Linked DNA regions of Lytechinus pictus. The protein of the gene in region 2 binds, or shares a complex with, the protein of the main gene of each other region. Links are inferred from orthologs where the notes say so. Each region holds a gene or a part of one and is shown on either strand. Other genes may lie near its edges.

Region 1 (6,921 bases), on a different chromosome or scaffold from region 2:
TCCATATCTATTATTTATTGTTTTGCTCTAGCATTTTAGTCATTCATGGGATTTTAATCCGATGAGTGCATGTCTAAAAGCTTCAGTATGTCTGTTGTAAGGCTATTTTACGATAATAAATGTTAGTAAGTGCGACTCTAAGTAGAGTTAAGTCATACCCCAAGATCCAACCTTGTTCACTGAATAAATGCCCAGATCCAGCTCATCAATTACTTAGCATGATTAGTTACGAACAAACTACAGCTGGCAGCCGTCTGTTTCGAGGAGTTTTTTAACATTTTCATTTTTTTTTAATTTCTCCTCATACACAGACGGCTCGCGATCGTGCAGCTGCCATTAGGGGGTTAACAATGCAAAATCCCCCAACGGGGCTCATTCATAGATTTTTGTCTTTATTTCATAAAAATATACAAAAAGAACTGGACCAAAATTAAGATTATTATTTCGTTTTGGCCTGAAATGCACCAAAATGGGGAAAAATAAACTTAAATTAAAAGGAAAAAAACTTTAAAAAGTGACTTGCTTCGGCTGTCGCGCAACTCCCACTTCCCTGGTTTATCTGAACTTAATACATAAACATATGGCCATTGAGTCCCTGTACAGATCGAGTTAGAACTTCAGTCTCTGTAATAATTAGTGAGTGGAGCCAACGGAGTTGAGCTTCAGCCAAACAAATATAACAGAGACAGAAGCTTTTATTTTTGTTTTAAGTTTTGGTCTACAAGTACAATAGTACTACAAACAAACATGCCCGATAATATTTAATAAATTAAAATAAATGTTCATCCGAGCATTTATTTTTTTTCAGTCTATGCCCATAATCAAATTAATATGGCACAGTCACACAATGTTGTGATGATCGCGATCGTGATCTTGGCCATTTCATTTCAGGCCAAGGCCAATGGCAATGCCGTATTCCCAGGCCAAGGCTACGGGCAGAGCCGGGGGCAGGGCCTGGCGGACATGGGCCATGCCCATGGCGGAGCAAAGGATAAGCTGGTGCGGAAATTCCAACCTCAATGTGCACCTGCCATTTATTATTACTAACTCACCGGATCTGTTTGTTTCCCTTCTTACAGTCAAAGTTTTATCTCTGTATATCATCCAAACAATGTCAACATTCGAAATGTAAATAAATGTAAACTATCTCATTTCTTCCCACAATTTTGCTGCCCATGATTGATCTACAAAAGGCGCAGCAGACGTACGTGACGTGATCGATCGAAAGGTCCTTGTCACATGCTAATATTCTTTGTCACGTGATATTCAGGAAATGGTATATTCTTTCTGATCTGGGATAGTCAGAGGGATTTTTTATAGAGGGGCCGATTTCACGAAAGGGTCTTTCCAAGGACCGTCTTTCGTGTCGCCCATCTTTTATGACGCACTGTATGCTGGATAATTCTTAAATGTACGATAAACAAATAAAATTTGTTTGCTAGCATTTAAATCAATTTGTATACAATTTCATGATATAGCACATCATTATGTAAATAAAGATTTGAATAAAATATGTTTGCAGGTAATTTATTTAAAATGCGTTTAATTCACATGGCGCATCTTAATAAATGGGCGACACGAAAGACGGTTCTTGCAAAGACCCTTTCGTGCAATAGGCCCCATATCTCTATGAGAGATACTGATAATATATCTCTATATATGGGGATAGGATTCTCTTCTCGGGGGGGGGGGGGTCCTCAAGGGTAGGGCTAGGGAAGGAGGAGTGGGTCACTGCATGGGTGTTGATCCCGGATAGCCTGGATTATATTCACGGTAGAGGGCCGTCACGTGATGATATGATAATGAAGATAGTAGAATTAAGGGAATAGAATATATTTTCAGTTCCAGGCCCGGATCCAGCTTTTGCCAATAGGGGGAGGTAGCAGAAAGATATTTTCATCCAGCTGATTTGGGGTTAGTTTTTTCGAGGGGGCATGCATGCATGCAGTCCTATAAACTTTTTGAGTACATTTGATATATCTCAGCTTTACTCTCAATTAAGCAGAGCCTTAATAAATCATGCGAGTGCAATTAATACCCGAACGGCATATTTATGGTTATATTCCCGGGATTTAAAGGAGAATGAAACCCTTGAAACCAGCTGAATCCATATCAAAGAGAAAAATCAAAGAAACATTTTGTTGAAAGTTTGAGGAAGATTGAATGAATAATAAGAAAGTTATGAGCATTTGAATATTGAGATCACTAGTGCCATGTAGATCCTCCCATCGGCAATGCGACCAAGATCTGTGATATCACACACGTACAACTCCCTCATTACTTTGGTACTTATTTCACTTATATTCTCACTTTTATAGAGTCTATCACAAGGTGAGGTGTTCTCTTTATGAGATGACAAGTACAGAGGTTTCACAACATTATATCATTGATGAATCGTTTGTCATATGATTAGAATGAGCAAAAAGAAATGTTTTGGGGTATATTTTCAGTGTCCAAATGGGAGAGTTGTACGTGTGTGACATCACAGATCTTGGTCGCATTGCCAATGGGAGGATCTCCATAGCATTAGTGATCTCGACATTCAAATGCTCATAACTCTTTTATTGCTAGTCCTATTTTACTCAAACTTTTGTTGATCTTATTTTTTGATTTTTCTGCTTTCACAAAAGCTAACTTGCTCCAAGTGTTTCATTCTCCTTTAAGGAATAATTTTTTAATTCACAACATTTCAAAACTTATTTATTTCTGGAGTTTGGATTTTATGTTTGGCTATAACTTGCAGATATTTCCATCGGAGCAATTTTCGCCGGAGCAAATGTAAGGTGCAACCATCTTTATCTTTCTATCTATCTATCTATCTATTTAATATCTATCTATTTATATATCTTTCTATCTATCTATCTATATATCTATCTATCTATTTTTCTATCTATATCTATCTATCTTCTATCTATCTATCTATCTATTTCTTCTTCTTCTTTTCCTTTCTTTCGTTCGTTTGTTCATTTGTCTGTTCATTTGTTTCTTCGTTCGCTCGCTCATTCACTCGTTCGTTCATTCATTTGTTCATTCAGTCAGTCAGTCATTCATTTATTCATTGATCATTCCGTTCATTTAGGCCTACTCACTTTAGTTCAAATACAATCAAAGGACAAGTCCACCCCATCAAAAAGTTTATTTGAATAAAAAGAGAACGTTCCAACAAGCATAACACTGAAAAAAGTTATGACATTTTAAAGTTTCGCTTAATTTCACAAAACAGTTATATGCACATCCTGGTCGGTATAAAAATGAGGAACCTAACGATGTCATCCACGTCACTATATCTTTTGTATTTTATTTTATGAAATGTGAAATATTTTATCTCCTCATTGTCAAGTGAAACAATGATTAATTCCTCCATGATCATGTGGAAGTAGCATATTATTTAATACTATATGGTTCAGTCAAGTTGGTCCTTATTGTCAAAACTGTAAAAAATGAAATATTGTAGAATTCAAACAATAAAAAACAAAAGAAATAGTGAGTGAAGTACATCATCGACTGTCTCATTTGCATGTCACTGAGTTGTACATAATCACGGTTTTGTGAAAAATAAGCGAAACTTTAAAAAGTCATAACTTTCTTGTTTTACCTCCGATTTTGATGAAATTTTGAAAGTTATGCTAGTCTGATTTTTCTCTATTATTGATTTTTTTTTTTCTGGGGTGGACTTAAGTAAATTATCTCTGGCCTTAGCTCTCATGCAGCATTGAGACTACAAAGAAGAAAAATGCAAAGATATGCGATAAAAAATAATGTATGAAAATAAGATTAGAGCAAAAGTACTGGAAACACAACAAAAGCTACAATATCCCCCCCCCCCCCAAAAAAAAAAAGATGCGCTAATAGCAGACGACGCCGGTCGTCGCGATATCGGGTAGTCGGGTACCCGCGGCCGCGCGCGCGCAATACCGGTATCGCCTGGAAAATTTGTAGATTTGACCGAGTCTGAGTCTGAGACTGTGAGACTCTGAGTGAAATTTTGGCGTAAATTGCTGATTCAGCATTTATTTGCTCCTCAACTATGGCTAAACAAGGGTCAGAACGCGAGGAGAGTTCAGGTAAATAAGATAAAATTATAACTTTGTTAAATATTTTTTCTAGTGTCGATTAATTAAGTTCCAGCTACCAATCAGTATCTCAGTGACCTTCGGTCCCATGTGTGGAGATTGGTGTAACGTATGCGCGTCTTTCTTGTAATAAGTTGTTAAACTTAAAAATTAAGACTTTGTGTGTCATATGTTAGCTATAGAGTAGGGCCTAGACCTTATCGCAAATGGATATACGCAAAGGATCACGGGACCCCAGCTTGCATGCTTCCTCTTTCTTTCTTTTTCTTTCTTCCTTCCTTAATTTTTAATCCTTACTTGCTACCTTTCTTTCTTTCTGGCGAAGTTTCTCTTTTTTCGTTTCTAATTCTATCCTTTCTTCTATCTTTCCCGCTTGCCTTTTTTGTTCCATCTATCTTTTCAATCTTTCCTAGCTTTCTTTCCTGATCTTTTTTCTCTCTCTCTATGTTCATTATTCTTTGTTTCCTTTGCTTTGTTTTCTTGTACTTTCCTTCTTTCTTTAAATTTCTTCATTTTTTTTTTTGCTTCCTTGGCTTCTCCCTTCCTCTCCTTTTTCTTTTTCCGAAGTTTTTGTTCTTTCTTTCTTTTCCTTCTTCCATTATTTTCTTCTTTTTAAAAAATTCTCTCTTCACTTCATTCTTTCCTTCCACTAAAGTTTCATCCTTTCGTTCTGTATCTTCTTTCCTTCTCTTTTTCCTTATTCTTTCTTTCCTTTTTTCCTTCCTTCCTGAAATTCCCCTTTCTTTCTTTCTTTCTCTTTCTTTCTTTGTTTTCTTTTTTTTCTTAAAAAAAATGCAGGAAATCTTTTTTCTTCATTCTCTCTTTCTCCTCTTTTTCTTACTTTCTTCCTCCCCCCCCCCCCCCCCCGGCTTTTTTATTTCTTTCCATTCTTTCTTTCACCCATTAATTCATTTTCCCTTTCTTTCGTTTTCCTGTTCTTTTCTTTCCCTTTTTCTTTATTGATTTCAAAGAATGGAGGAAACCTTTTTTTTTCTTTCCTTTATTCTTTCTTTCTTCTCCATTCATCTCTTTTCTTTCCTTTTTTTTCTTTCTCTCCTTCATCCTTTCCTTCACCCATTCATTCACCTTCCCTTTTTCTTTCTTTCTTTTTTTCTTTTCTTTCTTTTTTCCTTCCTTCCTTCCTTTCCTTCTTTTTTTAGTTATTTTCAGTGATTCCCCTTTTTATTTTGTGTCACGTTCATATACAAAAGCACATGAAAATATATGAGGGAGAAAATTAATCAAATGGTGTATTGACACCAATTTCGGTCATAGGAGGTAAAATCACTCCTAGTACCAATGAGGTCCAAACATTACATGTATGGACCTCATAGGCGACATAAGTGATAAAACCGGTTAGACATTGCCGTTTCTATTTGCACCCAAGGACTTTGGCAAATGTACGCCTTAATACAAATTGGATGGTAAAATTTTTGGTATGAATTAGTTTTAAACATCATAAATAATCTTTTACAATGTTTAAAAGTTAATGGATTGAGGTTAAACTTACATTTTCAGTCTTTTTTCTTGAATTCTTGGTGAGCGTTCCAAACGCTGTGAGGACTGATCAACTCCGATGTGATTCACGTACTGGTCAGCTGATCGGTCAGGTGATCGGTTGTTATCGGTTGGTTATCTTATTGTCAGACGTTCATAATTTATATTACAATATATCAATCTTCAGTATCTTGATTTCAAGCATCAGTATTGCAGAGAAAAGTCATTATACTAGATTGGAATCAGTGGCAGATCGGGGGGGGGGGGGGTTGAGCATTTCTGGCCTGTTCCACCTTTTGAGATTCATAGTCAATATTTTGGATGTAAAAAAGAAAATATGTCGTTCATACAAAGTTATGTCCCCCCCCCCCCCCCCACCTAGCTCCCTTATGAGAATCACAGCAATATTTGTAATGGGGATATTTTGTTCATATTCTTTGCCCTTTTTTGCTTCTCAAATTTATTTTACTTTGAACAATATGACTTTCTATATTTAGTGACAAACTTTTTTATGGGGGGGTGGGGGGCTTGCCAAATATAACGCAGGACAAGATGACCTTCTTTTTTTAGTGACAACTTCTTTTTTTTGTCAAATTTTACGAGAGACAAAATGACCTTCGATCATTATTAGTTAAACCTTTTTTTTTGGGGGGGGGTAGGGGGCTCGCCAAATAGTGACACACTTTTTTGTAAAATTTTACGCAAGAAAAAATGATCTTCAATCATTATCAGTTACCTTTCATTCGTTTTTTTTTGGGGGGGGGGGGGCTTGCCAAATTTTATGTGGGACAAATGACCTTCATTTTTTAGTGATTTTTTTTTTATACTTGACAAATTTTAAGAGGAACAAAATGGCCTTCAATCATTTTTAGTTAGAACCTTTTTTTTTTGGGGGGGGGGGGCTTGCCAAATATTTCACAGACAAAATGAACTTCAATTTTAGTGACCAGCTTTTTATTACTTTTAAAATTTCACGCAGGACAAAATGACCTTCACTTTTTTTTTTATGTTAACCTGGGGGGGGGGGCTTGCCAAATATTACACGGACAAAATGACAGTATTTTATTTTTAGTGACCATTTTTTTAAATACTTTTTTTCAAGCTCGTCAGGGGGGCAGGGATACGTCATTTGCATGGGTTGTGACTCATCGGGGGGGGGGGGGGCAGTGTCTGCCCCCCCTTGCTCCCCCCCCCCCCGTAGGTACGCTAGTGCTCGGGACCTACATTACGTAACTTTTATCTTCCACATATATATATATATATGCCCCCTCTTATATACCCCTGTTATGCCCCTGCACAGACTCGTCTACATTGATTTCGATATTTAAGCGTCATTATAAAATTATAACAA
Region 2 (7,932 bases):
GACAGCTTTGGCCAAGTCATCAGAAATAATTATTATACCTGTTGTTGAAACACCTTCTCACCTCTTTGAAATCAATGAAATGCCTGCAAGCCTCATCGATTGTTGCCCTTTGTTACATTGCCTTGGACATCTGTTTCAAGTTGATATAAATTCTAGATGTAGATTACCCATGGCAATATATAAACACATGGGACTTCGTGCAGAAGTTTTTGTTTGGTTTGGGGGACGACAGATGTTCTCAGTCTGTTCCATCAGTGGCACTTCTGACGAATTATTTGCAAAAAAAATGTGAAGTAAGTCATTAGTAATTGGGTCAATCCACATCAAATTACCTGATTTTCAGAGAGTTGTTAACCTGACCCCTTTGAATTTTGCTAAAATTTGCACAAAATGTTCCCTCAAGTGTGTCATAGAGAAATTGAACAGAAAAAATTTGTTAGTGTTGTGAGCAGGGCTTTAAAGTTTGGTGCAAGATAGTACTGCAGTGATGACAGGCATTGTGTTGAATAAGTAAAAATGGCCCGAATTCACAAAGGTGGTTTTGAAAACCAAGGTCGAATCCATGGCTTATGCAGTTTCCTGTATAAATTACGCTTAATTTAGCGCGTATCGGGCGCGTGTATAAAACATTCCAATGCTGATGCGCGCTTTTGTCACAGTGCACCAAATTGACGCCTGTTACCATGGTAAGATATGCTATTTTATTCATGAATCCACTTTTTGAAGAATTGACTCATTATTTAAAACAGTGGACTCAACAATAAATTAGTGTGGATAACCACGGCAACAGGCTTCGATTTGGCGCACTGTAACAAAAGCGTGCATCAGCATTGGACATTTTTTTAATATACGCAGTAAATAAACGTAATTTATACAGAAAATCTGCATAAACCATGGACTCAATCATTCATTTTTTGTTCCTGTGGATATGTGGACACTTAGAAACCCTCTTGCATTTGAGGGAATGTATAGTTTGGGTGTCTTTACTTTACAGATATCATCTGCTCTTTGAGGCATTATTTCCAGGATGAAATATACCTGGGAACTACTGGTGATTTCACTTTGGCAGCTTCAGCAGCCCCTAAAGTTCTTGAAACCCAATTCTGTGGGGCAACCATTTTCTCTATTCGGCCTTGCCTCGGCTCCAAACAAGCAGACCTCAGAGCAGCAGATTTATCAAATAAGGAGAACATTTGGGTATTAGCAGTTGAATATGGCGGCTCCTTTGGGCCAACTGACATATTCATGTAAAGGGTGATTCCATACGTGTCGTACGGGACATTTAGAGAACATTTGACAGTTTTTTGACAAGAAAAACTAAATATATTCCAGTAACTAAAGGTGATCATCAAGTACTACCAGAGTGTTAGAAAAACAAAGACTTAACATAACTTGAATTCACATCCTGTATAATACAGATTTAAAATAGTAATGTGTCGTACGGACGCAGAAAAAGTGACTTTTTTAGAAACCTCAAGTTTGTACTCTAAAGTCTGTGAGTTGGACAGATAATTTTCATAGAAACTGAACTCAAATTGATATTCAATTACCCAAGAACAAACACATCTATGAAAGAAAGCAAAATAATCCTTCATGAATAAATAAAGCAAATTGCAATTTTCGAGAACATTGTGGCGTACGGGACACTCAAAATGTGTCGTACGGGACATCTCTAAATTGAAGCCAAACTTTCTTACTTTATGTCTCTTTGACTTCTTCAATCACTTTATTTGGCTGATGATAATGATAATCCTATCAAACTAAAGACATTCATTATGTTAGAAACCGCTATTGGCTGAATATTTCTGTCAATTATCATAAACAAAATAATGTGTCGTACGGGACACTTGTGTGTCGTACAGGACACTTCTGTGTCGTACGGGACACTTGTGTGTCGTACGGGACACTTGAGTGTTGTACAGGCACTTGCGTGTTGTACTCGGCAGCCTGAATAAAACAATGAACTTTTTATTAATCAGAAGGGGAGCATTGCCCCTAAATTCTTCCTTTTTAATGAAAAGTCTTTTAATAAGTAGTCATTCAGGACAATATAATTAAGTAACCTCAATATATACAATCGGAAGCAATATGTCATCATTTTATTTTCATGATGGGAAATGTACAAGGGTTCACAGCATTTTTACGGGCTGAAAAACTTGAGGTTTTGTGTGAAGTTATATTCAGTGAATTAATTGATGATTTCCAATACACTATTTAAACAATGAATGAATGAAACTGTTTGTGTAAATTATGGGGCTAAAATGTTATAATTTTTCATATAAAATGTATATATACATGACAACTGTCACTTGTAATTCCACAAAATATATTTTTCTAAAGAAATTTTTTTCTACTTGTTCAAACCTTTCTGCATTTCATGAAACCATATGGTTTGTCTTATTTTCCAGATTTTTTTGTGAACAACATGGTTTGTCTTATTTTCCAGATTTTTTTTACAACTTGAAAAAAGTAAGGAGTTTCAATATTGTATATAAAAAAGTAAGTGATCATCAAGGGAAGTCCAAATAGATGATTGATATGTAATTTTTTTACATCTTATAATAATTCCACATTAGCATGCAAGAGGAAGTCATCTTCCAGGCTAGGGTGAATCAATTATAAAGGTTTTCTTTTCACGCTCAATGACAAAGAAATTAACCTGCTCTGACCAAAGAAAATCACCAGTTTAGCTGGAGGGATTCAAAAAAGAATACGCCTACATGAAATCAATTAAAATGGTTAGAATCACCTATTTCATGTTCTATGGAGATAAAAAAAGTACCTTTTCAGTACACTTTATGTCAAATCAATTACTTGAATTAAAATAGGTCTACTATTTATAGTTTCTGAATCCAAATCATGTAATTAAATGCATTATGTATTGTGTGTCGTACGGGACAACTATTAATAGGACAATTATTGAAAAATGAAGGACAGTAATTAGATCCTTATGGGATAAATCGATCACCCATGGGTCAAAGATAGAGAAACTGATTTTGTGAAATTGCATCATCAAAAAAAAAATTGTAGGAAAAACTTTTGCACTTTCATGTGTGGTACGGGACATTGCCAAAAATAGGTTCGGAAAAATCAGGGCTGCCCCTATTATGGATCATGAAAATGTTGTAGATATTATTTGGAACATTCAATGATACATTATTCCATTGACCTGCTATATTTTCAGTCTTCTCGTGCTTTGCCAATAATTGTTTCAGGCAGTGTTTGTACTTGACTATTTAATCAGCAAAATTATTGTCCAGTTGTCATGACGATTATCCGCCTTTTTCAAGACGGGCGCTCGTAAAAATAATTTATGGAGTTTGTGAACGCAATTTTTATTGAATTATCCGCATTACTCTTAGGCGGCTAATTGGAGGATATGTTTTATTGGGTTTATGAAAGGGGTATTAGACACTCACCAGAACTACACACATCGCAATCCATCGTGTGTGGCCCCCTGCTGTGACTGTATATGCCGGGCTGTTGTGTTATCTTCAGACCGAGGTCAAGAAACAGGTGTTTTGATACTTAAACTGCTTGCTTGGTACAGTTAGGGTATGAGGCTGTTCTCACTCAGTTCCTGAAACTAGTTTAGTGGAAACTAGTTTAACGCTAAGTGAGAACGGTCGAAGCGCTCTTGGAAGCGCTCTTCCAAACCAGTTTGGAAGACCACCTCGCGATGTAGTTTTCAAGATCGCTTCGCATCGGAAAAGTGGTTTTAGCGTAAGTGAGGACACAACCGTTCTTCGGGAAGCGATCTTCGCACATTTTGAGCGCGCTACTCCACACGACAGGTGTAGAATGCCTATGCTGCGGTTTCGAATTTCGCGCGAAACGTGTCACCCCACTGAGAGCGTTTCCATAGCAACAAGAGCGCTTTACGTGAAGTGATTTTGAAAACCACTTTCGTGTGATCAAGTGAGAACGCTAGCAAAGCGATCTTCCAAACTGGCTTTCTGAACCGGTTCCCAGTAAACTAGTTTTAGGAACGTAGTGAGAACAGCCTCTTTGTCTTACTTGGAGAAGAGAATTGATGAGAAGGGAAACTGAGGTATAGTGTTCTCAAATTGAGGTTTTCGTCATGATTTGTTACTCTTTTGGTTTTATATCAAATTGAGTATACTTATTCTTACTCTAGCACGAATAGTAAGTACTGTATAAACAATAGTATAGAATAATTTACAACGTTCGAACCGTGAAATCTTTGCTGTTCTCGATAATTCTTGTCTGGTCTCTGACCCTGTACTCTAGGCTGAGCTCGATTCAAATTTCGAAATAATGTGTTGATGTACGTCCGTCCAGGCCAGTCCGCACCTCCGCTCGCTCGATGCAACTTACAAGTAGTTACGGGGAAGGGGGTATGTACATGGTCGGCTTGTATAAATAGCCATCGAAGTCTCCATATCACTATAGGGTCTGGGAAGGAGACCGCCAGGGGGACATTCCCAGCCTGCACAAGGGGACGTTTAGCGATAGGTCAATCCTTGGATATTTTTTCCAATCTACTCCCTTTTTTAGGCCGGGGCAATGATGGGACAAAATTTGAGCGGGTAGCCAACGCACCCGCGCTCTCTGTGCCTGCTGGCAGGTTTTTTCTGCCCGCCGGCGAGGTTGTGTTCTCATGTTCAGTACTTGGTGGGGTTTCCATGCCCACTGCAATATTGGGTTCTTTATCAGGCGGATTTGAACTCAGACATCGGCAGCGGTGTAAGAAAAAGAAAATTAGAGGCACAAAAGTTGCATTTTATCACCTGTACAATGCACTTATGTGTTGTTGGAAGGGCGCGCGGTCGTGAAAGAGGAAGTGACGAGGGATGTAGGTCACAAGGTGACCCTGACGGGTTGCACGCTGTATGTGCCAGGGGCATGCAGAAATTATGTGGGAGATCTTACCAGTGTTGTTGAGGGTGGGGTGGGGGTGAATAGCAATGTTTAACAGGGACAGGTGAGTATGCCTCATTCGTAAATAAGACACTCACTGACTGAGTGTCGTTCTTTACTATACATTCAGCTAAGTTCATCTCATCATCTTGGCTAGCAGCCCTCTTTTCTAACACTTGGTTTGCCTTCTCTTGCTATTCAAGGTGCTTCTCCGGGTCCAGGTTTTTCCCTTTTAATTCAGTTATTCTGTGACTCTCAAATTCCAAGGTCCTCTGGTTCTTTTTATGCTATCTTGCATTGACTTGACTGCCTTTTCCATGATCTTCTCGAAATTGTCTGTTGCAGCTTTAAGATGGACTGTAAGCTGAGGTATGGCCAGGGGAAGTGGTGGAGCGTGCAGCATGGTTAGCTGGGCCAGTAGGGTCGGCAGCATCACCTTCCAGTTCATCGTTCAAGATATTGAATCTTCCACTGGTCTCAATGTTGGATTTATTAACAAATTTATCTCCTTTATAAGACATGATAAATATTATTAGTTACAAGTCAACAAGGGTAGTAAGAACTATCAACGTAATATGAAATATATGATTGAGAGATGGTATATATGGTGATAATGAAGTATCTAGGGAGATACTGTCACTTAGTTAGCAGCCATTTGGTCTTATTCGGTCTATGTTACAACGTATAAATGTCAAGTCATGCTTGTAATATATTACATAGAAACACTGTAAAAGATTTTGTATGAGCTGTTGCATGAATTAAATTTTTTTTTTTTTTTCAATTTAATTTGATGTACACAGAAGCATATGGTAGAAACACAAGTCTTCTTCGCCATGCCAGTCTTCCACGTGAGGTGGTATGCACTGAGAACTTGACCCCCTGGAAAAAACTGCTTCCTTGTGACTCAAAGGTATGTGATTAAATTAATTTTTGCTTTAAAAGTGCATGTATTATTTATTGTATAATATTGGTATCTCATTATAGGTTTAAGGTAAGCAGGATTTCAATAACGTGTGTTTGATATTTATCCTTGTATATTTGAGGATTTTAGAATAATCCTAGTATTTCAGGAAAGAGTGGACTGAAATTCTTGTTTAGTCAGGACTGATTTCTGGCTTGCTACACCAAATTTGTGAGATGCCTCCAAGAGGCTGAATGAATTTTATAGGGTACATTTATCTACAGTTTGTGAATTCCTCAAAGTGATGCCTTGTAGACATATTTTCTAATATCTACAAAGCCATACAAGAAAACATTTTCTTTAAGGAATAATTTATGAATGTAAATTTAGGAATTAAGCAGAAATACATTCTGTTGCATTATATATATATTCATTCTCTTAAAGTATAAAACAACTCTGTGATGTGCATGGTGCACGATGTTATAAAAAAATGTTGATAACTTGTTCATCTTTTTTTTTCTTGGAAGGCTGGTCTGGCATCACTCTTCAAAGCTGATAAGTTGTACAATGCCCATTATCATTCCTTGGCAGTCGATATACGACCAGTTTGTCGGTCAGGAATGATCCCTTGTAGGGAGTCAGCAGTACAGCTCAGTCAATCACTGAATGTTGTCTTTGGACCCTTGGCACAGAACAGACAAGGCACTCGCCAAGATGTTTCTTTGAGAGTCCTGTTTGGGAAGGTTTTGAGTGGTCCATGTCCAATGGCATCTAGCAGCAGGGTAATCGTGGATTTATCAAAGAATTATGTAAGTCTGTTTGGATTCAACTTCAATGAACACTTTTACTTCAGTTTATGTAAGTTTTGTACATTGTTATACCAAAATACTTCATTTAGTAAGGTGAGACGTTAATATCTGAGCTCTCATGCCGTGAAGTTCATGAGGTTGAATTTGTATATCAATAGAGAACCCCTGCGGCCATCGCGGAGTCACATAACCAGCCTGTGCAGCCGTGATTTTGGCACCTGCATTTTTTTCGCGGGCATTGGGCCAGCAAGCTAAGAGTTCTTCACGGGTTCATAACCTGTATTGTTTGCCATGAGAACTTGTAGTAGTGCAACTATTGTGATTCGAGCAATATTTTCGCCGTGCGAAATTTTTTGACCACGTCGCTTGCTGAATTTTTACTTTCAAGTCTTGTACAACTTTTGAGACCAGTTTTGTGTCATCCAGGTACGCCGTTCCGAAATTACGCAACATTATGTAAGTGCATGTCAGACCAAAAATTTGCTTAAAAACATGATTTCGTGTACAAAGTCAATGCAAACTGTGTTTTCAACCAAAAATCATAAATGTATGATTATTTTTAGTTTTGCCAGTCTAAATGTATTTATTTTATGCTGTTTATGATCTCAGAAGAGTCCCCTACAAATTTCATTGTAAAAACAATGAAAAGCGAAAGGTCCAAAAAAACAAAGAAATACATAAGAAATTGCAAAAAACAATATAATACATAAGAAATTGATCTGATATAACAATTTTTTAATGTACACTTGCTAAGAACAGCACAACGTTTTTTATACCAAAAATTAGAACATTTTGAGCTTTATTTAGGGAGCTAAGGGAAAAATATGATTTCACATACTAATTACGCATAAATAATAGCATAAACCCTAATAGCAATTTGCATGAAATAAATTACTATACAATATTGTACATTATGTCCCAGACAACCTGCGTGCCAATTTTCGGCGCGATTGCATGGCCAATGGCCGAGATCTCAAGGGGGGCCTGGGAGGACCGCCCCCCCCCTCCCCCCATAATTAGCATAATCACTTAATAGCAATTTGTATAATATAATTTATAGCAATAAATAGCATTATATCCCAGACAACCTGCGTGCCAATTTTCAGTGCGATTGCATGGCCAACGGCCGAGATCTCACAGGGGGGGCTGGGAGGACCCCCCCCCCGGCCATATGAACTTCCAAAATACCCCGGCCTAGATAGGGTTAAGGGCAGGGCTCGAAATTAGCGGCTGCCTGGGTGCCATTGGCAACCAAAACTACCAGTGGGCAACCTGAAAGTCCCGCCATGGTTGCCCTGATGTCAACCAAGAAAATTCTGGATTTTTTTTTCTCAAATAGAA

What was found.
Region 1: the proteins of GPI transamidase component PIG-T-like (region 2) and GPI transamidase component PIG-S-like are in contact, whole or in part, in a cryo-EM structure (PDB 8IMY), measured with the Homo sapiens proteins. The link is inferred for Lytechinus pictus from reciprocal best matches to the Homo sapiens genes PIGT and PIGS. Residues at the interface, in NP_057021.2 of Homo sapiens: Pro26, Arg27, Val63, Ser64, His65, Tyr66, Arg67, Lys71, Gln75, Lys79, Tyr80, Val133, Gly136, Lys191, Leu193, Pro194, Cys195, Ser196, Lys198, Ala199, Glu270, Pro271, Pro273, Leu274, Tyr526, Ile529, Cys530, Cys533, Val536, Ala537; in NP_149975.1 of Homo sapiens: Thr9, Glu12, Val13, Gly16, Ala19, Ala20, Phe23, Thr230, Pro238, Lys239, Tyr244, Ile247, Glu248, Val251, Gln256, Val270, Asp271, Ser272, Gln273, Ile274, Tyr276, Tyr277, Met279, Ser309, Arg310, Ser313, Ser314, Ala315, Ala316, Phe513.

Annotation. Positions count from the first base shown.
Region 1 is NC_087245.1:38,640,876-38,647,796, forward strand, and holds the start of GPI transamidase component PIG-S-like, read left to right. Parts: upstream 1-3,919; 5' UTR 3,920-4,027; coding exon 4,028-4,064; intron 4,065-6,921. UniProt on the Homo sapiens protein: Component of the glycosylphosphatidylinositol-anchor (GPI-anchor) transamidase (GPI-T) complex that catalyzes the formation of the linkage between a proprotein and a GPI-anchor and participates in GPI anchored protein biosynthesis.
Region 2 is NC_087246.1:41,755,625-41,763,556, forward strand, and holds the start of GPI transamidase component PIG-T-like, read left to right. Parts: upstream 1-4,928; coding exon 4,929-4,945; intron 4,946-5,226; coding exon 5,227-5,285; intron 5,286-5,681; coding exon 5,682-5,791; intron 5,792-6,309; coding exon 6,310-6,591; intron 6,592-7,932. UniProt on the Homo sapiens protein: Component of the glycosylphosphatidylinositol-anchor (GPI-anchor) transamidase (GPI-T) complex that catalyzes the formation of the linkage between a proprotein and a GPI-anchor and participates in GPI anchored protein biosynthesis.